6 linked regions of the Ovis aries genome follow. The protein of the gene in region 1 interacts with the protein of each later gene in a pairwise test. Links are inferred from orthologs where the notes say so. Each region holds a gene or a part of one and is shown in the gene's direction. Other genes may lie near its edges.

The links.
Region 2: the proteins of ITSN1 (region 1) and CYTH1 interact in a two-hybrid assay, tested with the Homo sapiens proteins (2 studies listed by BioGRID and IntAct). The link is inferred for Ovis aries from reciprocal best matches to the Homo sapiens genes ITSN1 and CYTH1.
Region 3: the proteins of ITSN1 (region 1) and SNAP25 interact in a two-hybrid assay, tested with the Homo sapiens proteins (2 studies listed by BioGRID and IntAct). The link is inferred for Ovis aries from reciprocal best matches to the Homo sapiens genes ITSN1 and SNAP25.
Region 4: the proteins of ITSN1 (region 1) and KIF5A interact in a two-hybrid assay, tested with the Homo sapiens proteins (2 studies listed by BioGRID and IntAct). The link is inferred for Ovis aries from reciprocal best matches to the Homo sapiens genes ITSN1 and KIF5A.
Region 5: the proteins of ITSN1 (region 1) and DLGAP1 interact in a two-hybrid assay, tested with the Homo sapiens proteins (2 studies listed by BioGRID and IntAct). The link is inferred for Ovis aries from reciprocal best matches to the Homo sapiens genes ITSN1 and DLGAP1.
Region 6: the proteins of ITSN1 (region 1) and AP2B1 interact in binary tests that used the Homo sapiens proteins (3 or more experiments, as listed by UniProt). The link is inferred for Ovis aries from reciprocal best matches to the Homo sapiens genes ITSN1 and AP2B1.

What each region holds. Positions count from the first base shown.
Region 1 is NC_056054.1:122,553,501-122,557,733, reverse strand, and holds the start of ITSN1 (intersectin-1), read left to right. Parts: upstream 1-1,433; 5' UTR 1,434-1,694; exon of another isoform or gene 1,695-2,814; intron 2,815-4,233. UniProt on the Homo sapiens protein: Adapter protein that provides a link between the endocytic membrane traffic and the actin assembly machinery. Acts as a guanine nucleotide exchange factor (GEF) for CDC42, and thereby stimulates actin nucleation mediated by WASL and the ARP2/3 complex.
Region 2 is NC_056064.1:52,903,694-52,907,984, forward strand, and holds the start of CYTH1 (cytohesin-1), read left to right. Parts: upstream 1-1,491; 5' UTR 1,492-1,572; coding exon 1,573-1,594; intron 1,595-4,291. UniProt on the Homo sapiens protein: Promotes guanine-nucleotide exchange on ARF1, ARF5 and ARF6. Promotes the activation of ARF factors through replacement of GDP with GTP.
Region 3 is NC_056066.1:3,369,300-3,372,799, forward strand, and holds part of SNAP25 (synaptosomal-associated protein 25), read left to right. Parts: intron 1-1,333; coding exon 1,334-1,451; intron 1,452-1,617; coding exon of another isoform or gene 1,618-1,735; intron 1,736-3,500.
Region 4 is NC_056056.1:162,087,638-162,091,137, reverse strand, and holds part of KIF5A (kinesin heavy chain), read left to right. Parts: coding exon 1-114; intron 115-412; coding exon 413-559; intron 560-1,160; coding exon 1,161-1,349; intron 1,350-1,708; coding exon 1,709-1,826; intron 1,827-2,201; coding exon 2,202-2,266; intron 2,267-2,366; coding exon 2,367-2,476; intron 2,477-2,865; coding exon 2,866-2,967; intron 2,968-3,465; coding exon 3,466-3,500. UniProt on the Homo sapiens protein: Microtubule-dependent motor required for slow axonal transport of neurofilament proteins (NFH, NFM and NFL). Can induce formation of neurite-like membrane protrusions in non-neuronal cells in a ZFYVE27-dependent manner.
Region 5 is NC_056076.1:38,844,655-38,848,854, reverse strand, and holds the start of DLGAP1 (disks large-associated protein 1), read left to right. Parts: upstream 1-1,400; 5' UTR 1,401-1,672; intron 1,673-4,200. UniProt on the Homo sapiens protein: Part of the postsynaptic scaffold in neuronal cells.
Region 6 is NC_056064.1:14,441,927-14,445,426, reverse strand, and holds part of AP2B1 (AP-2 complex subunit beta), read left to right. Parts: intron 1-430; coding exon 431-546; intron 547-1,685; coding exon 1,686-1,851; intron 1,852-3,097; coding exon 3,098-3,196; intron 3,197-3,500. UniProt on the Homo sapiens protein: Component of the adaptor protein complex 2 (AP-2). Adaptor protein complexes function in protein transport via transport vesicles in different membrane traffic pathways.

The sequences.
Region 1 (4,233 bases):
AGCATCATAGTCTGCACTTCAAAACGGTTCTGAGGTGATTCTCACGCGTTGCTCCAGAGTATTCCTCGGTTTAGCTTAAATCTGGAGGGCAAATCTGGACCTAGAGTTACATAAACCCGAACGCCCCTGTTTTACGTAATTGTTCAACGGGGAAAAAAAAAAAAGTGACGGAGGAGAAAGCAGTATTATGGAACCAGTAAGGCAGAAAGAAAAAGAAACTCAAAGTATAGAAACAAAAAGACGCGGGAGTGGATAAACTCCAACCTGGGAGTCTCGGTGGAAGGAGACTTTTGCTTCCATGAAAGTGGAGGAAGATGCAAACTAACATCCACCATCAAAACCAGTAAAAACCAGGAAATCGTCAGGCAACTCAAGTCTCTCCCGCCCCTCAGCGGCCTCAGCTAAGCCAGCTAGGCCTGAGCCCAAGAGGTGTTAAGAAGGTTGGGGTGCGACGGAAACCACCCTGCACCCCAGGGCTGGACGGTCTCGCGGGGCGTCTCCCAAGCTTCCGCCCAAAGGCCGGTTTCCCAAGACACGTAGCGCGTCTCTCGGTGCTCACCTGCCTCGGAGCGGTTCTAACGGCCTGCAGCTTCACCTCCGCCACCTTCAAGCCCCTCAGCAGAGGACCCGCCCCCTAAGCACTAGAGCCTCTTCCCATTGGTCAGGCCGCTCGTCAGTCTCGGACTCTAGAGACCGCCATAGCAACCAAACGCAGAACTACATCTCCCGGCATGCTTTAAGGCGACGCGCTTGGGGCTACCAATTAATGCGAGAAGACCAGCATAGCAACCGAACGCGGAACTACATCTCCCGGCATACTCCAAGGCGACGCACCTGGGGCTATCAATCAAGGCGCGAAGTCCTAGAGGCCGACGGGTTCAGCTTTATGTAAATTTGTTCAAGACCACACCCTTCCTAATTCCAACCACATCCCCACCACCTTCCCGGGACTGTGCCCCGCCCTCCTTGTGCCGCCACATTGTTATCTCCTGTGACACCTGCCGTTAGTTGAAGACGTCCTAACTTGTACCTCGCCTAGCACAGCATCGCCAAATGGCACCGAGACCATGGAACAAAACGTCCCGAAGCCCCACACCAGACGCCTCTAGGCACGTCGGGAAACCCTACGCCAGACGCCTGCTTCGGGAAAGGGGGCGGAACGGCGGGGGGCGGGGGTTGGGGGTGGCCAGGTCCCGCCCCCTCTGAGCTTGCTGATTTGTCGATCCGGCTGTCACTCCCTCCTCTTCCAGGTTTTTTTTTTTTCAGTTGCGTTTCCCCCGCGGTGGGCGGGGCTAGAGGGAGGGGGCGAGAGGAGGTGTGAGCCCTTTCTTTCGATTGGTTGTTTTTTCACTGTCCCCACCCACCCCCCGTGGGCGGAGACGGAGGGGCGGAGAGGGCGCGGGGGAGGCAGGTCCCGGGGGAGATGAGGAGATAGGCGGGAGCGAGGGACTGAGGGAGAGGAGCGAAGGGAGGCCGAGAGCTGAGGTGGAGACGGGAGGGCGCGCAGCTTGGTTGCTCGGTAGTACGGCGGCTCGCGAGGGAGAATCCCGGGCGGACTCCCGGACGCCCCGAGAGGCGGGCGGGGATGGTGTGCGGGGCTGCGGCTCCTGCGTCCCCTTTCCGCGGCGACTGAGCTGCACTGATTTTTTTTTTTGTCCCCCTGAGGCGGCAGCGTGGACCCGCCTGGAGATGAGGTGAGGAGAGGGCTGGACCGCGTCGGCCTGCCTTGCACCCGGCAGGCGGCCGGGGCGAGGGTGGGCGCGATGGCCGCCCGGGACGCCAGTCCACCCCCCAGCCCCGACCCCGGGGCCGGTGTGCGCGTCCCTCCCGGCGCCCTTCACCCTGAGCCGCACGCCCGGGAGGCGCCCTGTGACTCGTCCTTCCCATCCTCCCGAGCCGCCGGGGGTGGCTGGGTGGGTGGTGGTGGTGGCGGCCGGCTGGCACGCGCCGGGAGGCCGGGGCTCCGCGGCGGACCGAGGCTGGGGGGTGGGCGGCGGCCGCGGGACGGGCTTCTGGGGGTTGAATGGGCATCGGTCGCCGTGGCCCGCCGAGCTGGGGGGAGGTCCCGTCCTTTCTCCAGGGGCACGCGGGGCAGTGGGGTCCCTTGCAGGGCTGACCTCGCTGCCCGCGGTCGCCCGAGTGGGGCGGGCCGGCCGAGCCTCGCCTCCCCGCCAGCCTGCCGGGGATCCGGAATGCCCGGCCTCTCCTCCCCGGCTCATCCCTTCTCTCTCCTCCGCCCGCAAAAAAAAAAAAACAAAAAACAACCTACCCTGTCAGTGAAGGGCAGTCAATGCCGTTTTGGCCCCGCGTCCTCCAGCTGGGACTGACTTGACTCCGGTGGTATTTCACAGAAAGCGGCTCATCCTTTCAAGGGGGGAGCGCGTTCCCGGTGTCGGCCGCTTCCTTTTCCCCTTCTTTACGCACTGACACGGTTTTACAGTGTGGACCGAAGCCACAGTTACCAGGCTCTGTCTGGCTTGACCGAGGAAAATGCAGTCAGAATCCCCAGGAAAAGGTAACCGACGAGGAATGGGGTTGCGCCTTTCCCTCTTCTTGTTTGCCTTTTGGATTAGGAAGCACCTTCGTAGATTACATTTCCTATGGGCATCTTTTGTTGTGATTCATACTAAAGGCTTTGTTTTTGAAGAAAACCATTAGGGGCGTCTGTGTTGAGTTGAAGGCTCTGGAGATTTTTTGATAGCCTCTGAAAATGAAAGTTTCCTTTAGAACTTTGCCATCCTCGGTGCTATTCTGGAGGCAGCACCAGCCTGAAAATTTAAACAGATGCGACTCCGAATAGTTGCGTTTCTTTGTGCTTTATCTGCTGGCATCCTGCTCTTAATGTTTACGTGGTCGGGACGTCCAAATAAAACAAGTGCAATAAAAAGTATAGATAATAAAAAACAAGTACCGTGCCAAAAATGCGTCTGGAAAATCTCAATTCTGTCATCGGGGAAACAGTTTTTACTAATCCCTTTGAAAGGATGAAGACCAGGCTCAGAGTTTATGTAGTGGACAGGATCTGAGGGTATGAAATGGGACCATGGAGCCAGCAGGCCGGCTGGTATATGTAGTGCTACTCTTACTGTCTGAAATAGGAGTATATTTGTTGGGATACCCTTATTTTTTATATGACTTAAGGTGCAGAAGCTTAGTACCCCCCCTAAAGTTATGATTTCTACTTATTATGGAGAACAAAATACTGTGTTTTGTTTCTAAATTTTTAATAGTTCACCTGAAACATGTTATTTTTGAGTTTGCTTATAACAAAAGAAGAAAAACATTTTTCAGTATTGAGTTCTTTCTGTAGGACAGTTGTAAAGAACCCCAAAACTTTAGGTAATCCAAATTCAGAAATGAAGGACACTAATTTAGTGATGGTCCAAAAGCTATTTAAGACTTCTATAAGTAGCTGCAGTAGGGTGAATTTCTGATAGAATTGTTTTTGAAGGCTATTTATTTAAGAATGTATCTATTGAAATTTCTGAGGCACATGGTACCTTCACAAAAGTCTATTATTATTCTGCCTGAGTAAGAGAGGAAATGAACACATTTTTGATGTACTTTGGAACCCTGTGGATTGTTCAGATACTAAGCATTGTGAAATAGGGCATAAAACAAGTGGTAGCAAGTTAGTTCCCTGAAATGTTTGTGTCTCTTAGCTTTTTTTTTTTTTGCAATTGACTAGCAATTTCCTTTTTCTTAATGCTTATCCCTATTATTGGAAATAAAACTCTGCTTAAATTCATGTTTTCTCCAAATTACTAGATTGAGGCAAACTCAAATCTCCATAAAGAGGGTTAAGGAGGAGGTGTGATTAAATCCCTCTACTCTTACTCAGCTTTTTAATGTGGATTTGTGAATTATAGGGAATTAATTACAGGTCGGTCGGGTTTATATTACTCAGTTCACATTCCACTGCCGTAGGGCTCTTCTCTTGTGAATGATCTTTCTCTTCTGAATAGTTCCACTTACTGGCAGGTTTCTCAACGTGTAGACCTCAGATCACTTACATCACCATAACCTGAAGTTCTTGGTAAAAATACAGACTCCTGGAATCTGATTTCCAACAAGCTCTCCAGGAAGTTTTCTTACACAGCAGCATTGGAGAACCACTGGCATCGTGGTTCCTTCTCACTGAGTGGCCCCAGACTATGTCCTGAAGAGGATGGCGTGTCTTTCAAGTGACAGAATAGCTTTCATGCCTTGGACATCTAATAAAACACCATGACC
Region 2 (4,291 bases), on another chromosome or scaffold:
AGGGTGGGCCAGAGCTGCACCCTGATGGAATGTGAAGATTGGGATCCCTTAGACTGATAATGTTGGAATCCATCTCATCAAACAAAAACATTGTCAGCTGTGCTGAAGTCAAGCAGAAGACAGCAACAGATCACAGATCAGTACTGGGCAGGAGCCTGGATTTTATAGGCAGATGCTTCATTTCACGGGTGTGAGACAGGTCCAGGGGGCTGAGGTATTTGCCCAGATCACAGAGCTAATAGGAAGCAGATGTGGAAAGAAAACCTAGAGTTTCCTCATTCATTTACTCCTTTTCCATGAGAGGAAAGGGACTTTCCTTTGTTGTCTACCGGGAGGCATGTTTTGGAACGGTCTGTAAGGAAACAGACTGCTGAGAAGGGTCACAACTCCCCCTGATGGAGATATTCCCTGACATTTCAGGGGCATTGCCAGGACCTTGGGCTGAGCTCTTCTCCCGCAGCACCCCCAGTACAGCACATTGTGCTAGGGGGTCCAGGGTCATGCCCCCCAGGAGGGTCCTGGACCATCCCTGTGTGATCCTTCCAAATGACACACTTATAATTTTTATGTGTAGCACCAAATCAAGAAAGAGCATATCCATCCAGGAACAAGTAAAAAAGCAGCATTTTCGTTTATTTTTCTGAATTAAAAATTGGTGATGTCCCCACCTCCAGGTGCAGAACTACTGCCCAGGCTCCTCAAAGGGCAGCTCAGTCTAACCAGTGGGTGGGGATTGGTCGGTCAGCCCAGTGCAGGCAAATAAAACATGTAAGGCACAGCCTAGAAACGTATGAATCCAACAGTCGCAGGAATCAAGGTCACCAAAATCCTGACATGCTGTGAGGCTGAGGTGCCTCTCTTTGAAATTTGATCGGGGTACATTCAGAGGACAAAGAAAAGGAAGTATATAAAGGCAATGAACTCATGACATTCACGGTGCTAAGGTTCAGACTGCAGAAATAATGAACTCAAAATATTCTGGTATTCGGCCAAGGACTAGCAGGACCTGTGAAACTAACGTCAGCGAGGACCACCCTGCCCTTGAGTGGCCGGACACGACCTTGGTACCTCTGTGGGCGGCTGGGCTCTGGTCTGTTTCCCAGGCCTGCGCCACCCTTAGGAAATCCGAAACCTGCTGGGCCCCCGGAGGCGGCCGAGGCGGGGCCTCGGGTTGGGGCGTGGTCAGAGGCGGGGCCTCGGCGCCCGGGGCCAGCCAGAGGGGCGGGGCCTCGGCGGGCGCGCGTACGCAGTCCTGGGCAGAGTAGAGGACGCGGCCCCAGGGGTGCGCGCGCGGGCGACGGGGGCGGGGCCGCAGGCCCGGGGGCGGGGTCTGGGCGGGCGCGCGTGCGCAGGCGCGGGTCGGGAGGCGGCCGCGTGCTGGGCTCTGTGTGTGTGTGTGTGCGCGCGCGCGCAGGCCGCGGGCGGGGCGCCCCGCGGGGGACGAGGGGCGGGCGGCGGGCGGCGGGCTTGGGGCCGGGGGCGGGGCTCTGAGACTCGCCGGGCGAACGGGGCCGGGAGCTGCGGGACCTGGGGCGAGCGGCGAGCCCAGGCGCGGAGCCTGGCGCCGGCACCATGGACGAAGACGACAGCTACGGTCAGTACGGCCCTCGGTCCGGCCGGCGGACGCCCCCTCCCTTCCTCCCTTCACCGGCCCGGCGCCTTGGCCGCGCCTCAGGCGACTCACGTTTCCCGGGGACTGTGGTGCCGGACGCGAGCCGGGCGGGGCGGGGGCCTCCTCAGGGCAGGGGGCACCGGGGGCCCCGAGTGTTAAAGGCTGAGGGGTGATGAGGGGCCGACGTCGGGGTGCACGGGTCTCGGGGGCCGGCGCTGGGGGTCGCCGGGCTCCAGTCTCTGGGGCCGCAGTCGTAGGACCGGGGTCTCGGGGCCTGAGTCTCCGAGGCGGAAGTCCTCCAGGGTGAGGGTCTGTCTCGAGGCCGGGGTCTAGGGCGGGGTTCAGAGGAGGGTCTCGGGGTCCGGGTCTCGGGCGGGGGTCTCGGGCCGCTGTCCCGCGCAGGCCCAGCCTCCCCCGCGAACGCTCAAGTTCCCCCGGCCGTTCTCCGTAGTTTCCGGCCCCTTCGGTGCTGGCAAGTTATGTACCCTGGTCCATGTCTTTGTTCAGAAACAAAAATGAGAAAACACAGGCAGCGAACCCCGAGTGGACAGGCTGCCACCTGACGGTGCCGTCGGGGCCGGGATCTCCTGCCGCCGGCCACCCCAGGGTCCGAGGCTGACCGCCTCTCCGCGGAAACGGGGCTGCTGTTCCCCCAGCGCCTGCGGGGCGAGCCCGAGGGGCGCCGAGAAACCCAACTTTGCCTTCTCATCTGTGCCCAGAGACGCGGCACAGCCCTCACGCCACACCGACAGCGAACGCTTGACAAAACTACCCGTTTCCAAAGCCTCCTTCTGCTGACCTCACCTGGGAACTGTTGGCCATCCGCAGGGCATTCGTCTGTCAAATGGCTTCAGATTGCCAGGCTGGCAGAAGGCTATGTGGAATGCTTTCGTTAATTTATTTAACGTTTTATTCCCAAGAGATGAAAGAATGGCAGATAGAACAAGTGGTGAAGTTTTGTGGTTTGGTAAGCAGAGTACAGACAGCAGTTTGAAATGCTTGTGTGGCTTAGTGGAAGCGAATCCGCTTTCTTGACTAAGTGACATAGGCGACGTTTGTTTCTTAAGCTCTGAGGGAGCAAGCTTTGTTGTGGGGTATGTTAAAATGTGAAAGGTGAAGCACCTTGTTACTTTTCTGTTTGTTTACGAGTAAGTCATTGAGGAACCACTGACCGCAATAGGTGGGTTTATGACCCACAGTGGCAGACAGGGGAAAGGCCAGAGCACGTGGGATCGGTGTCCATCAGATGTCCCCTGGTTACCTTCCAAGTAAAAGCAGTGTGTGCTTTTCCTCTGTGATTGAAAAAAGAGAAAACACCCACGATTGATCCCAAAGGACTTTTCAGCCCCACTTAGGTGTCTGTTTCTGCCCACCCAGGAGAAGCCTTCTCCAGCTTTGCGTGCTCCTGTACCATCTCTTGCTGTTTAATCCAGGCTTTCTTCATGCCCTCTCCTGGTGGTCTTACCCACCGCTCGAGGCAGGAAGCTGTTGGTCTGGTTGCTTTGAACACAATGACTGCTTTGCCACCAGGCATGGCATGAATTCGTGCTCAGAAAGGGTGAATGGAAGCAGGGTGTATTTGTTTCCTGTGGCGGCTGTAACAGATTGGCACAAACAACATAAACTTGTTATCTTACAGTTCTGGAGGTCAGAAGTCCAAATTTGGTCTCACTAAGCTAAAATCAAGGTGTTTACTGGGCTGTGTTCCTTTCTGGAGGTCCTAACAGGAACATCTGTTTCCTTGCCTCTTCCAGCTTCTAGAGACTGCCCCCGTTCCTTGGCTGCTGGCTGCCTTCCACCTTCAGAGTCAGCAGGTAGCATCTTCTCAGTTCTGTCTGGCTTCTGCCTCTTCTAGTTAGGGCTCTGTGACGCCATTGGACCCACCTGATAAGGATAAGGATCAGCAGCCTTAGTTCTCCAATGGTAACCCCCTTTTTGCCACGTAGGGGCGGCGTGTTTCCAGGTTCTGGGATTAGGACAGGGCTATCTCTGGGGCCCATTATTCTGCTGACCACACATAAAGATGAGGAAGAAGTTGTTCTTTTCTTTCTGTTTGTACAATTAAAAAAAAAACATATTCTTCGTATATTGGAGGAAGCAGAAAGGTTGATTTAAAGATTTCCCCCACTCATTGGGTTTACCACACAAAAAGTACCTAATGGTTCAAGATGATCATAACAAGAAAAAGGTTCCTAGTTCTTTTTAAGGTTTGCCTCAGTCTCCAGAACTTTCCATTTCTCTCCTAGGTTTTACAGAGAATTTACCTCAAAAGATAAGACAACTATTCACATTCCACCTTTCAAACTAAAGTGGGTGCTGTGGACTCAAACAGTGCATAGAATGCCAGGTCCAGGGGGTTCCCTCGGAACCTCCATTGGTGGTTCATGAGTCAGCCTAGGTCACTACCATGATTTTTTAACATTGTATCTTTGGGGACAGGGTTTATGATTTCCATGCTATCACCTTGCTAGATAAAACCTTTGAAGCATAACTCATTTATAATAAGCTAAAGAAAGAGAATGTGTCTTAGAGTTTCTCTGTTCAACGAAAGAGAATTTTGAAAACTCACCAGAAGGCTTTTCCTAACTGCATACTCTTTGATGTTCTGTGCTGACCCAGAAACCACACCACTGAGTTCAGCAGCCCTTTCTCTTGTTCACTCCCTGTGATCCTGAGTTG
Region 3 (3,500 bases), on another chromosome or scaffold:
CAACACAATAGCTTCTTATTTTCCAAATGGACAGGCAGTCTCTCCAGTTTGGAATGACAATTTAATGTGAAATTGTTTTTAAGTAATTATTTATGCCCTTTTATACAGGAAAATATTTACTAGTTTTATTCTAATCATATCTTTCTTCCCAGAGGCATAGGCATGCATGCATGAAAATATAGTTGAAAAGAGGAATAGAAATGTAATTAGGTTTTGTAAATAGCCAGCCAGGACATCCCACTGCTGCCTTAATGGTCTTATGCACCCAGTCACTATGCCGCTTTTGACTCTGTGTGACCCCATGGACTGTAACCCACCAGGCTCCTCTGTCCATGGGATTTTTCAGGCAAGAATACTGGAGTGGATTGTCATTTCCTCCTCCAGGGATCTTGCGACCGAGAGATGGAACCCTCATCTCCTGCAATGGCAGGCAGATTCTTTGCCACTGAGCTACATGAAAAGCCAAAAAGTCATAAAAGCTGTTTTAAAAATCACTTCATGTAACTTGTAATTTACTCAATTTAATGACACCACTTTTGAAAACTTAATCAAGTTGATGAATGTAACCCTGGCAACCTAGAAGTATGATTCGTTTTTATGGCCATCAGTCTATGTCTTAAGATACTGTCTAAGGTCAGCTTTCCTGGCACTGATGACTTAGTACTGTTTCATGTTCCAATCCATCGCCTTTCTCCAGGAATTTAATGGTCCAGTACCTGTAATGTTGCTGTGCTGATATTGCTTTTCTTACAGCTTCTATGAATTGAATATTCAAAACCAAAGACTGCCTATGGCCTGCCTTTGGCTAAACAGCCATTGCTAGGGGGAAGAAAAGATATGGTACCTATTGCTAATTATCACTATAGTTGTTATTCTTCCCAAAGGAGAAAGTGGATTATTTTCTATCCTTAGCTGGTTGAGGGTGCTAAAAACCAAAAGAGAGAGATGTTTTAAAGTTGAAGCAGACACTTCCTCTAGCACCATTGCATTTGAATGCCTAAAACAAACTAACACCCTATTTTCTTTCTCTTGAGTTTCACTGGTGTCTGAGTAAGTGAATATGCTGTGCTGTTTTCCTGGACATTCAGAATCAAGCAGGCTTATCTACTCCATCCCATCATGTCTGAACTATAAACTATATGAGCATCACTTTTGTTCATTTCCTTCCACCCCTGGCTGCACAGGGCATCGACAGCCGATTCTAGCAATGCATCTCCTCAGACAATGCATTGTAATAGCTCTCCCTCTTTCTCAAATTCCGTTTCATTTCTCATGTTCTGTTGAAAACCCCCAAAAAATTCATTCCACACTGTCATCCCTTTGTCCTAACCAGAACAACTCGATCGTGTCGAAGAAGGCATGAACCATATCAACCAAGACATGAAGGAGGCTGAGAAAAATTTAAAAGATTTAGGGAAATGCTGTGGCCTTTTCATATGTCCTTGTAACAAGTAGGTACTGGGTACCAGCTCTAATCTGTGGCGTCCAGTTTTCTTTCTTTCTTTTTTTTTTTTTTTTCTTTAATGTCAAAGTGAATGTCTGAAGTTTTGTCTTTTTTTTCTTTGTCCTTTTCCATCCGCTTCATTCTGTGGGGATAAAATACTTGTGTTTAATCAGAACAACTGGAACGCATTGAGGAAGGGATGGACCAAATCAATAAGGACATGAAAGAAGCAGAAAAGAATTTGACGGATCTAGGAAAATTCTGCGGGCTTTGTGTGTGTCCCTGTAACAAGTAGGTGCTGCCTGCCTGCCTGAAGCTTTGGTTTCCCAAGGCCCATCTCCAAGCCTTGACAATCTCATTCCTGCTGGTGCAAAGGCAGGATGAGTATGTGGCATGCAGAACAGATCAATACCGTCTCTAATGCATTCATCTCATAGCATAGATGATATTAGTGGGAGTAAACTGTTGATGCATTAAAAATCAGGCATACTACAGTGAAAGCTTCACTGTCAGCAACTTTTATTGATGAACGTTTCAACATTTTCCAGAAAGTGTACCTCAAGACAGAGACTAACCTCAAGAAAGAGGCGCCACCCAGGGAATTTTATGTTCTCTAAATCCCCGAAACCAAAATTGCAGATTTAGAAAAGACTGGGGGTAAGTTTGGAAGTTGAGATACACATATGTATCAAGGTTTGATTTTTCAGAAGCAAAAATTACAGGTAATTTGGCCCAAACAAGCATTCCATAAGTTAGAGAGTAAGTAAGACAGAGATTCACCCTTTCAACTGCCCACCAGTTACCAAATCTGGTCAGCGGTTAGACCATAGATGCCGCAGCTGCACCCAACGCAGAGGCAAAGAGTCCTTCAGCAAGAAGTGCTCATGCCTTAGCCAAATTGGGCCCATCCCTCTCCAATTCTTCCTTTAGGAAGATCTCCCGTACACTGGCCGAAATGTTGAAATGTGTAGATTTTGCATGCACGACATCACAAAACATTCAACTGTTAAGGTTCTGCAACGCTTTTTTGGAATGTAGCAGAAATGTGACATGTGGTTATAAAGGTTTGCAACAGAAGGAATCTGAAAATAAGTGTTCTGGAAGGTAGTCTTATTTGACTAGCAGTGGAAAACAAAAAATGCATGAGTGGATTGTCCAACATGCATTTGGAAGATTAAACCTGTTCCCCGATCCCCCTCACCCCTCCTACTTCCCTTTGAACAGAAGCCTTTTTCTAAAAGCTCTCCTGATCCTAGCTTTTAGAATAGAAATCGATGTCATTTCTAGCTGATTATATGACCATTCACATCCTTTAAACTTTGAGGCTGATTTAAAATATCCCACTTCCTGTTTAGGAGGGGAGGGGCTCAATTTACAAATAAATTTAAGTTTGTTTTTTTTTTTTAAAGAATGATCTACAGTAAAACCTGATTAACTGGAATCTAGCTAACTTGAACCTTTGAGTATATTTATATTTTTGTTTGTTTCGACTTTTAGCAAAAAGAGGCAAATAAACAAAGGGAAAAATCCCATTAGGGATTTAAAAGCATTTCTCTTAAAGGTCAGTCTAGGCAGTTTGCATTCTCTCACTCAGTCTTCATTCTCTAAGTTCCACATCCAAGCGGACCAAGCAATGAAAGCTGAGCTGCAGAGGAAAGGCAATCAGACATATCAAGAGAAACCAAAACCAAGGAATGCTTTGATCATGTTCCCTGCCCTAAGACTCTAAGGCAGGAAAGTGGCTCAAGGTCTAACAGATAGTCAGCCATCACTCTTGAAACTAAGTTTAACTCCATGGCCCACTGTGTTAAGAAAGTCCTATAATTCACCAAAATAACATTCCCAAGCATTCCAGTTAGTCAAGATTTAACTGTTCATCATTTTCAGTGGCCACTTGCCCCCAGGTGAGATGTCTACCTCTTTTGTGATGAATTTCATAGATACATTTTCCCCATCCACCAACTGTGTGGACAAAGGGTGGAGGCAGGCCCCCCTCCCTCCCTGTGACAGACTCTAATGCTCAGATGAAATCACGACCCCTGGGAATTCCAGGTAC
Region 4 (3,500 bases), on another chromosome or scaffold:
GAAGTGCTACAGGCTCTGGAGGAGCTGGCCATGAACTATGACCAGAAGTCCCAGGAGGTCGAGGAGAAGAGCCAGCAGAACCAGCTTCTGGTGGATGAGCTGTCTCAGAAGGTGGTGAGTGGCCAGCCAGGAGCACCCTGACCTCAGAACACCTTCTGCGTCCAGAGGGAACTCTGCTTCCTAAGAGGGTGGTATCGTGTTTGTACCTTTGTGCTGTCCTTCAGTTCGTGGTGGGCCCCTCTCCCACTCCATCACGTTACCCTCCTGAGCATTCTTTCTTCCAGACCCTTCTGCAGGGCTTGTGTTCTCTTTGTAGCAACCATCAGGGTCATGCATGAAGGGAGAGGCCTCTGGCTGGTGGGGGAGGGAAGCAGGAAGATGGTGCTGGCATGACCTGAAGGACTGTCCCCAGGCCACCATGCTGTCCCTGGAGTCTGAGTTGCAGCGGCTGCAGGAGGTCAGTGGACACCAACGAAAACGGATTGCTGAGGTACTGAACGGGCTGATGAAGGACCTGAGTGAGTTCAGTGTCATCGTGGGCAACGGGGAGATTAAGCTGGTGAGTGGAGAAAGACGTGGCGGCCTTGTTCAGATCTTTCTTGTTCTGGGCACTGGTGGGAGGTGTAGGTGAGACACTCATGTCCTCAGAGATACTGAGAGGAGGGGGACAAGATCCAGGAAGCACACCTGCAAACTAGACACAGGAAAACACGCAGAGGTTTGCATAGACTCAACTGAAATACACATTTTAGATCTACATACCTGGTGAAATTTACATTGCTGGATAAGGAAGCAGTGGAGATGTGCTTTTAGCAGGATTTGGAGACGGGGGCACAAAATTAGGAATGATATAGAGAGATCTGTGGCAGTGACGATGCCCCATCTGTGTGATCAAGTGGATCAGTCTGACTACAGAATATCCTGTTTCTCTATAGAAGGGAAGAGGGTGGCTGTCAGAACAGATCGTTGGATGCAGAGAGGGGGATTCAGTGTGAAAAGCCAGGTGGTACAGAGCTGCTAAAAGTTGTTTGGAACATACCTGTCCCACTGGAGTCCCTGTGCCTGTGGGTGTGTGTGGGGCTAGGCCGAGTGGAAGGAAATGGATAAGGGGCTTCCCAGGAGCAAAGAGGCACCTCCTCCCTCCCATGTTCACCCCACAGCCAGTGGAGATCAGCGGGGCCATTGAGGAGGAGTTCACGGTGGCCCGACTCTACATCAGCAAAATAAAATCTGAAGTCAAGTCTGTGGTCAAGCGGTGCCGGCAGCTGGAGAACCTTCAGGTCGAATGTCACCGCAAGATGGAAGTGACTGGGCGGGAGCTCTCATCCTGCCAACTCCTCATCTCCCAGGTGAGTGCCAGAGGTAGAGAGCCTCTGGGTGCCGTGGGAGAGGCAACTCTGTGGTTGTGGGATGACTGCTAGCACCGATGTTTCTGTCAAGGGCCTAGGGTCAACTGAAGTCAAGGACAGAAGAGCTAGGGGAAGCAGGAGAGGGTCCAGGCTAGAGAATTGAAGGTTCAGGGGGATACTGCCCTCTGAACCAAGAGAGTCTAAAGCAAGGGTCTCCAGAGGAATGGCCCTCAATCCTGCATCCTGGTGGAAGGTGTAGCAAGGAGCGGGGAGAGCTGGAGCTTGTGGAGGTCTGTGCTGCCTGGAGTTGGGCCCTTGACTCTATCTATCTTCTTCGTCACCAACCCTCACCCCATCAGCATGAGGCCAAGATCCGCTCCCTGACGGAATACATGCAGAGCGTGGAACTCAAGAAGCGGCACCTGGAAGAGTCCTATGACTCCCTGAGTGACGAGCTGGCCAAGCTCCAGGCCCAAGGTGAGGCCTGCTTAAACCTCCAACCCACCCGTCCTGGGACCTGAGATCAGAGAGGGTGTTAGGAGGCAAAGCGACAAACATCACAGGAAGCTGCCTATCAGCACACTCACCAAAGCATTAGACTGAAATCCTGGAGTCCAGCTCACATGCTGCTTAGCATGCTTTGGCATGTAGCTCATTTTACGTGAACCATAAACCCTCCATCATTCTCTGTCCCTGCTATATGAAATTGGACAATCCTCACCCAGAAGAACATCCCTGTGGGCCCATTCTAAGGGTAAATGTGCCCTGCCCTGCCCGGCGCTCTGGTCACAATGTGAAGTTCTGTCTGGAGGTGGTAGGTGTGATATAAACCGCTTCCTCCCTCTCCCTCAGAAACTGTGCATGAGGTGGCCCTGAAGGACAAGGAACCAGACACCCAGGACTCAGAAGATGTGAAGGCAAGTGGGGAAAGTGTTGGGGAGACTGGGGTGTGGCAGGGCCCTCACCAAGCTGGTGGCTGGGAGTCTGGCATTGAGCTTGGGTGGGGTTGTGTTGCAGAAGGCCCTGGAGGTGCAGATGGAGAGCCACCGGGAGGCCCATCACCGGCAGCTGGCCCGGCTCCGGGACGAGATCAATGAGAAGCAGAAGACGATCGATGAGCTCAAAGAGTAAGAGTTCCCCAGGGTGGCTCCAGTCTCCACCTGGTCCCCTCACCTTGCTGGGTCCACGCACACACTCCCTCTTGCACCAGGATCCAGTTCTTTAACTTCTATGGGTCATGCCCCAGCAAAGACATGACTTTGCAGTCCAGCTCCAGGAGGTACAAGGAGTGAGGACTAGTCCCTGTGCTCCAGGCTTCTCTGATTTGATAGCTCAGGGCCCCTTATCCTGCCATGGAAGCAGCAGCCTGAGTCCGCCTCTAATATACCCCGAGGTAGATGCGTCAACCCTACAAGGACTTATGTGTACAAGAAGGAAAGTGTTGGAGGGGTCAGTCTCCCCTTTGTCCCTCACTGACATCTCCTTGTTCTCCCCAATACTTCCTTGCTCTCCACAGCCTGAATCAGAAACTCCAGTTAGAGCTGGAGAAGCTCCAGGCTGACTATGAGAAGCTAAAGAATGAAGAACATGAGAAAAGCACCAAACTCCAGGAGCTGACGTGAGTGACGGGTCCGCCTGCAGACCTGAGACTACATGGGCTCAGATGGCTACTCACACATGCCACAGGGATAGGACGTGATCTAGATGGGGATACGGTGATCACAGGAAGCCAGGTCCTCAAAAGAACAACTTGATGGCAAGGGGGAAAATAAAGGAGACTTCTGTTCAGTATTAGCTGACATGGAAAGATGTGGGTGATGTTCCATGAAGTGTAAAAAGCAGGTTATCAACAGTAGGAATGGTATAATCTCGTAACATTTATGTGAGAGCCACATGCATGGAAGAGTCTGGAAAGATGGACACCAGAATGTTCACTGTGGTTTGATCTGCAAGTGGTAGAATCATGGGCTTTTTATGGAACTCATCTTACTTTTCTCATTTATGCACTGTGAACATGAATAACTAGTTTAGTAAGTAATAAAAAAATATAGATCAAGGAATGGAGGAGGGACAGAGGAGCAGGGTGGCCCTGAGTGCTTTTTATGTCTTCCTCCAGATTTCTGTACGAGCGACATGAGCAGTCCAAGCAGG
Region 5 (4,200 bases), on another chromosome or scaffold:
CCCCCTCTTTAATGGAAAATCACTCAGTGAAATTGCGAAAAAGTGACTATTTATCTGAGTCATATTTTTATGGAAACTGTTTTTCACGTCTCTGCATTTTTAGAAGTGTTTTCTTTAAAAAGGATATTCTATTAATATTTATAATTAGATATCACACAAAGCAGATGCTAAATCTTATGCTATAAGTTTATGGGTACAATTACATAAAGAAGATTATATACTCTCTGGCATAACGTTCTCTCTGGCAGCCGTAGAACAAAGGACAGACCTTCTCCGTGAAGTCGCCCGTTCTTTATTGAGGGAGACCGGAAGACTGTGATTAACCACTATTTTAACTCTTATCACCCAGAACCTAGTACTTAAGTGGGTTGCGCAGGAGCTCGATAAACAATTGATTGACTCCATTCTCTCTTTGACCCAAATTTCACCTATTCACAGAATATTTATTTCTATTCTTACTTAGAAGCCTTAAGGATTTTTTTTTACTTTCAGAGCTCGTGGACTTGTGGTCCTCAGCCTATGCGAATGGGCGTGGCTCCCAAAAGCAGTTGAGATGGAGAGCTGAGCGTTTACTGAGGTCAGAGGACAGGAAGAAAAGGAATTCATTTCCCTATTATTTTTGGTTTTCTCTAAATACCTAGAGAAACCGGTAGAATATATATTGTGTAATCTAATCCACAATCCCCTCCCCCTGCTGCCCCCAAGAGCCTTCAGATTGTACAGTTGTACAATGGCCTTCAGTTGTACAGATGGGGAAACTGAGGCTCTGAGGAATAACTGTTTGGAAGTAAGGGCATGGGGTGTGAGCAGGCGGTCCTGGTGAGTCTAGACTAGGTCCACAACCCGGGCTCCTCCCTGGCGATTGCGTTTTCAAAAATTCTACTAGGGACCCCGAGGATGGAGAGAAAAGGGCAAACCCTTTACCCGCCTACGTGTTCTCCTGTGACAGAAAGTGTGGAGCGCTCCTGGTAAGATTAGGGGACCAGAGCTGGCAGGTGAGGCGGGGCAGGTTCCATTCTCCGCGGATGCAGCGCCGGGGAACGCACGGGGCACGCCCACCAACGCGCGGCCGCCTCCCGGTTCCTTCGCTGGGATGCGGGGCTGGCCTCTGCGTCCCGTGTGAGCGCACTTGCCGCCCGGAGGCGGAGCGGGCATCACCCGCAGGACGCCGGGCGCCTCCCCGCGGCCCAGGCGCACGTGCCGGGCCGCGGCCAGGGCTGGTGGCCGCACCGTAGTAGCCGGGGCGGGTGGGAGCGCGGGCTCCGGGCCTCGGCCGTCACTCGCCCGCCGGCTCCGGCGGTTGGGCGGAGGAAGCGCGGGACTCCTCCTCCCCACCGTATTAACATGCACCCAGGGGCGGGTGACCAGCCCAGCCTCGCCGCCCCAGCCCACCGCGTCCCGCCACTGAGCCTCCGCGCCAGAGGCGAGCGCTGCGCTCCGGGCGCCGCAATCCCGAGGACCCGGCCTCTCCGACACCTCCGGCCCCGGGGAATCGGCGGCATCCGCAGCGGGAGCGGTCGCAGCCGCCTCGGCTTCTCTCTCGAGTCCTTCGCCTCGCGTCGCTAAGAGCCTGTCCCGGCCACGGGGACACCTCTTTCGTCCTGCCTCCGAAGCTCGCGGGAACCGACGGACGGCCGCGGCGACCGAGGGCCGGACTGCGGGCAGCGGCAAGGTAACGCCGGGCTGCGCCGGGGGCTGGGGCGTGCGCTCGCGGAGAGGGCCACGGGAGCCCGGGCCGCCGCCACCGCCGAGTTCCCAGTGGCTTTTCCCAGCCGCGCGGTCGCCGCTGCTCTTGCCAGTGGAGGAACTCCGGGCTGGGCTCCCCGGACCGCTAGCCGGCTTCTCCTACCCCTTCCGCCGCCTAGGGCGCACTTCTGCGACCCCCGGAGACCCGGGGGCCGGCGCGCCCCTCTCCGGGTGTGCGGTCCTCGCGGCTAAACGCTCCCCAACGCCGCCCCCGGGCCGGGGCGCGGACGGATTTCTAATTGCGACAGGGTCCCAGAGGGGGAGGGGAGCTGAACGGCAGTCCCCGGCACGTCCACCGGCCGCTTTCCCACCCCCCGCCCCCAGCCCCCTGCACCTTGCCGGGGAGGAGGGGGCCGCTCGCTGCAGGGCATTTCTCCACCGGCTCCCGAGTCGTGGGCGAAGCAAGTTGTTGCACTTGTTTTCTGGGTGACATTTTGGCTTTGGGAGTGGAGACAGCCCCCTCCTCTGTGTGAGTGTGTGTGTGTGTGTGTGTGTGTGTGTGTGTGTGTGTGTGTGTGTGCGCGCGCGCGCGCTTGCTCAAGCAAGAAAGAGAAAGCCAGAGAAGAAGAGACACAAAGAGAGAGAGGCACACAGGGAGAGACAGAGATTCAGATAGACACACGGAGAAGCGCGGTCCTAGGGAGCGATCGCTGGAAAGTCGCCCCCTGCCCGCGGCCGAGGCCGAGGCCAATTCCTGGCCAGTCGCGGCGCGGCGGGTGTTCAGGGAACTGAACGAGCCCGAATGAGCCGGGACCAGGCAGGGACCCCTCCTCCGGGCCCGGAGGGATAAAAATTGCGCTTTCCTGGAGGGGCCGCCGCAGCTGCGGGGGTTAGACCTCGGGGCTCGGGGGCGCGAAGATGGAAATTCAGCCCGCAGGGCTGAGATGCTGCGCGCCTAGCCTAGTGCGGTGGCCACGGGAGGTGGTGGGAAGGGGCGGCTCAGGTGCCCGCGACAGTGTCTGTGCCGGCGCTGTTCCCGCCCCGCGCTCCGGGGCTCGCCTCTCCTCCTGGTCAGGAGGCTGCGGAATTTTCTGTCGGTTAGGGGAAGGAGTTTGAGGCGGGGAGAAGGCCGGGACAGCCCCCCGACCATCCCTTGCCCCTCGCCACCGAGGGTGAGAGGTTATCTCTTTTCTGGACTCTGGCGAGACTGTCGCCTCCTGACACCGTGAGCTGGTTCTGTTCTTGAGAGATCACTGCTCTCTGTCTCCCCCACCCCCCACCCCCCAGCATAACGCGTGAAGTTATGGAATTACAGTGATGAAAGGTGTATAATAAAAGTAACAATTGAAGACGGAGCTTTAGCTTTTATGGTCTTCGCAGATGGCTTTGTAAAGTGATGATGGATCAGTCTGGCTTTTAGTCAGACCCTGGGATGAGGAATGTTCAGAGCCAGGAAAGCAAAATTAGGAATAAATGCAAACATTTTGCAAATTGTTATCTTTAAAAAACAAGCAAACAAACCAGGAGGGAGCTAACTGCCTTTTTTCTGTTATTTATAGCCGAATTTCCGCTTCAGGGAGCAGCTTTCTATTGGCCTATGGAATTTTGCATGTATAGCGGCAGTCTTTATCCCAACTTGAACGGAAATGAAAGGAAGGCAAGAGATGTTACAAGTATCCTGATTTATCTAATGTCAAAGGATAAAGTTTTGCTTACATTTAAAAAAAGGAAATCCAAAGTCATGAAGAAATATCGAATATCTTGCAAAACATATGAAGTTTAAACGATTAGTTGACAGAAGCTACCCTTGGTTCAGAAAATTCATATTCTTGCATGAAACAGGAAAGTTCGTACAAGTCTAGTATCAATGGCCTTGTTAATAATTTCCTTTGGATGTATTAGTTCAGTTTAAAGTTGCTGCAGTAAAGTCACTGCCTTGAAATATTCCTAGTTCTAGATCTAAAATTCCATGACTGTTAAAAAAAAATGACTCACTTAAGAGAAACTATTAGCTACTTTATATGAGAAGAGAGTTGAGTGCCTTCAAATACAAGCTATTTCAAAAATTACATCTGTCTGTTTCCCTGTACATTTCTATCTAAGGCTAGTTTGCCAAATAAAATATTTGGTCTCAAAAATTATAGATGATATAAATACTGGCAAAATGAACTGGTAAACAGATTCTTTAAAAAATTATGGAGTAATTTTCTGACAACTCTTCAAATCACACACTAGCAATTGTGCTTTGAGGGGAATAATACTTGAGTATTCCTTGTGGGGAATTTTCTTGGTTTAGCATCTGTAATTTTTCCTTCAGTATAAACTTGGTTTCGCCAGGACTAAAACCTTGAAATGAGTGATTATTGAAATCAAGACCACCTTCTCAAAATATCATATGGCTCATACAGAGGAATAGACTAAACTGTCAGTTGTCCTACTTTCTAAGTCTGTCTAAGCTTAAGTATTTTATTGAATCAGATTTGGAAATACAAATTGCATGCTCTTTGATGTAAT
Region 6 (3,500 bases), on another chromosome or scaffold:
AAATGTGCTTGTCTGCACAAATGAAATTTGGCAGTTTCATTTCAAGAGGTTTAAAGATGCCCTCTGTCTTGCTCATTCATGAACTGCAGATAAAGACCTCCTACTCCGGTGTATTCTGTCATTCTTACTCTTTGCTCATACCTTGACTTACGCTATCTTCTCTTTTCTGTCATCCTGGCTATCCAAGATGATTTTGTTCACTTGAACTGACTCTTTTGTAATGAGTAAAATTTGGGGTGTATCTTGAACTTCTGTACATCTCCATCAGATAACCCTGTGTCTAATACAGTATGATCAAATTAAGTGCCTCATCTTTTAATCTAGTTTAGTTGATGTACCTGGATGTTCTCTCCCCCCACCCCCATTTTTTTTTTGTTGAGGTTGTGTTATTGGGTAGATATCTGACTTCTCATTATGTTCTTCATTGTAGCAATCTGCAGAGCGCTGTGTGAGCACGTTGCTTGATCTCATCCAAACCAAAGTAAATTATGTGGTCCAAGAGGCGATTGTTGTCATCAGGGACATCTTCCGCAAATACCCCAACAAGTATGTCCAAATACTTCTGCCCCTCTTCCTCAGTTCGTTTAGGAAATGTTTAAATAAAGCACTTTGAGACTGGCTAGGTAAGAATTATTTGGTCATAATTAAATGCTTTATTAAAAATCAGAAACGTGTAAGTTTGTGAGCACGAGGATTAAAATCTCATTTTTACTGTTTTATCACTTTTAGAAGAATTGAAGCTCTGTCTGAATATGCATTGTCGATTGACATATTTTTAAAGTTAATCAGGTTCTTTGGTGATGAAGTTACTATTAAATAGGATACTCATGTCTGGGCATAATCCATTTTATGCTTCTTACCAAGCGTAATTAATAAATGTGCCCCCTTTCCACTCTCAGAAATGTCTCAGTTTGAGTAATATGGCCACCCTATTGTAAAATCCAGGAAGGTGACAGCTTCACTATTCACTTTGTATGTTACCTAGTACTTTTAGAAAATTGTAGAACATGTAACGATAAATTATCAGCGTTTTAGACCTTTTCTCAAGTATGGTAGCTGCTTCCATTAAGATATGCAAAATCTACATTTTCACTTCACAGAAAATTTTCATGTTGAGGTCTTAGTTTGTGAAACATACACTTTTTCAGATTTGCTTTTGAAGGCAAGCAATTAAAGAATCTGAAAGAGTGAAATAAGCAGATTCAAGGGGGAGGAGATATATGTATAATTTAAGACTGATTCGTGTTGTGTGGCAGAAATCACAACACTGTAATGCAGTTACCCTCCAATTGAAAAAAAAAGAGCAGATCATCTAAGCACCCTAAATGTCATTTTACCTTATAATCATAGAGATAGGTTGTGCTGAGGCTTCTGACTAATCTTTAAAGATCATATGAAATGAAGTGACTTACAATTAAGTTAGTTTAATGGTGGACTCAAAATTAGAAGAAATATTTTAACAAGGTAGTGGTTTATTAAGTGTTTTATATATTTTTTTTAATTCTAGAAATTGTATTTTTGGGAAAAGGATATGCTTTTACCACTCTGTCAGGAAAGAGGGGTTGGGTTTCTAAATTTCTTGATTAAGTGTGGATACCTTGTCCATGGTTTTGCTTTTAGTCTTCATTGTTAAATACAGTTCTCAGTTTTGCCCTCAGTAACCATAGTCCATTTTGTTACATCAGATACGAAAGTATCATTGCCACACTGTGTGAGAACTTAGATTCACTGGATGAGCCAGACGCTCGAGCAGCTATGATTTGGATTGTGGGAGAATATGCTGAAAGAATTGACAATGCTGATGAGTTACTAGAGAGCTTCCTGGAGGGTTTTCATGATGAAAGCACCCAAGTAAGTTCTCTTCTATACCTAATGAAATAGATGTTTGGGGGAGGATTTCAGGAAAGGTAAAGGTTAGGCAGTTTTGTGTGTCTGAACTTATATATATATATGTGTATATATATATAGTCTGTAGTGTATATATAGTGTGTATATGTGTGGTGTGTATATATGTGTGCATATGTTCATTTTTTTCCTGAAAGCAAAAGGGGTGAGCTTTTTCAGTTGTGCTGACGTCTGTTGGAACAAGCCTGTTTAGCTTACGCTAGTGGTTCTCAAACTTTAATGAGCTGTAGAAACACCTAAGCACTGGTATTTAATCTCTGTTGAAGCTACAGGTTGCTGGAACCCACATTAGAGTTTCTGACTCAGTAGGCCTGAGATGGTTCATTTTTACAAGGTTCAGAGTGGTGATGCTGCTGCTGCTGCTGCTGCTGCTCCAGAACCATGCTTTGACAACTACTGGCTTAGAGCGATAGTTAATTATAATTTTCTGTCACCTAAAGATGATTGCCCATTACTGTCAATAATGGTTGTGGCTCGGTTACAGCTGGAGTTTTTGTCGGGGTGAAGGCTGGCATGTGCATTTTGAAAAGAATCTTCCTTCCCACCTTCTATCTGTCCTCTACCAAAATTGAGAGACCTTGAGAGACTTTTGAGTCAAAGGCCCAGAGAAGCAGATAAATTATTAAACCTTTTCCCCCTGGTGTTCATACTCACTGCAAATTGAAGTTCATAAATGTATTCTATCATAGTAATTTTAATAGGCCCTGACAAGGAATACATACAAGCCAGTAATTTCATGGTTCAGCAAGCCACTCTTAATTGACTGTGATCTAGTATAATTCTGTGGTCTTGGCTCTTGCCTCAGTATGATAAACGATTCTCCAGTTCCCCAAAAGTTGTAGCTTTCGGTGGAAGTAAATAATAGAGAATTTGGTCAGGAACCAGTTTTATTGCCATCAGCATGTTAGCATATACTTTAAGAAATATAGATGATTAATCTGAGGCATAAACAAACAGGCAGTTTTTGATGCCAAAAATGCAACTTGGAGGTAGGAGTCTAGTGAGTTTTCAGTTGATGAAAACCTTTGACTGCTATTGTTGATACTGGCGGAGTTTTCAACCTTTGTCTATTAATCAAAACCAGAAAGGCCTTGTAGTAAGTCAGTCAGTCATGTTTGGGGAAACACCACTTTGGAATTGGTGGTGTGGAATAATATGGATGCCTTTCACTTCATCTATTAAATTTATTTAGGTGCAGCTCACTCTGCTCACTGCCATAGTGAAGCTGTTCCTCAAGAAACCATCAGAAACACAGGAGCTGGTGCAGCAGGTCTTGAGTTTGGCAACACAGGTAAGAAATCTGGAAAAAGCATGGAGTTGATTTGTCTTGTTTTAAATTCTTGGAAAGTGTAAAACTTCTCCCAAGAAGGTTCATTTGGGGAGGTTTTGAATGTAAAGAGTACAGTCTTTAGATTCTGTTAAAAAAAATTCGAAGCAGTACTTCTTTTACATATTCTGCTGAATTAGAGGAAAAGACAGTGGCACCCCACTCCAGTACTCTTGCCTGAAAAATCCCATGGACTGAGGAGCCTGGTGGGCTGCAGTCCATGGGGTCGCTAAAGAGTTGGACATGACTGAGCAACTTCACTTTCACT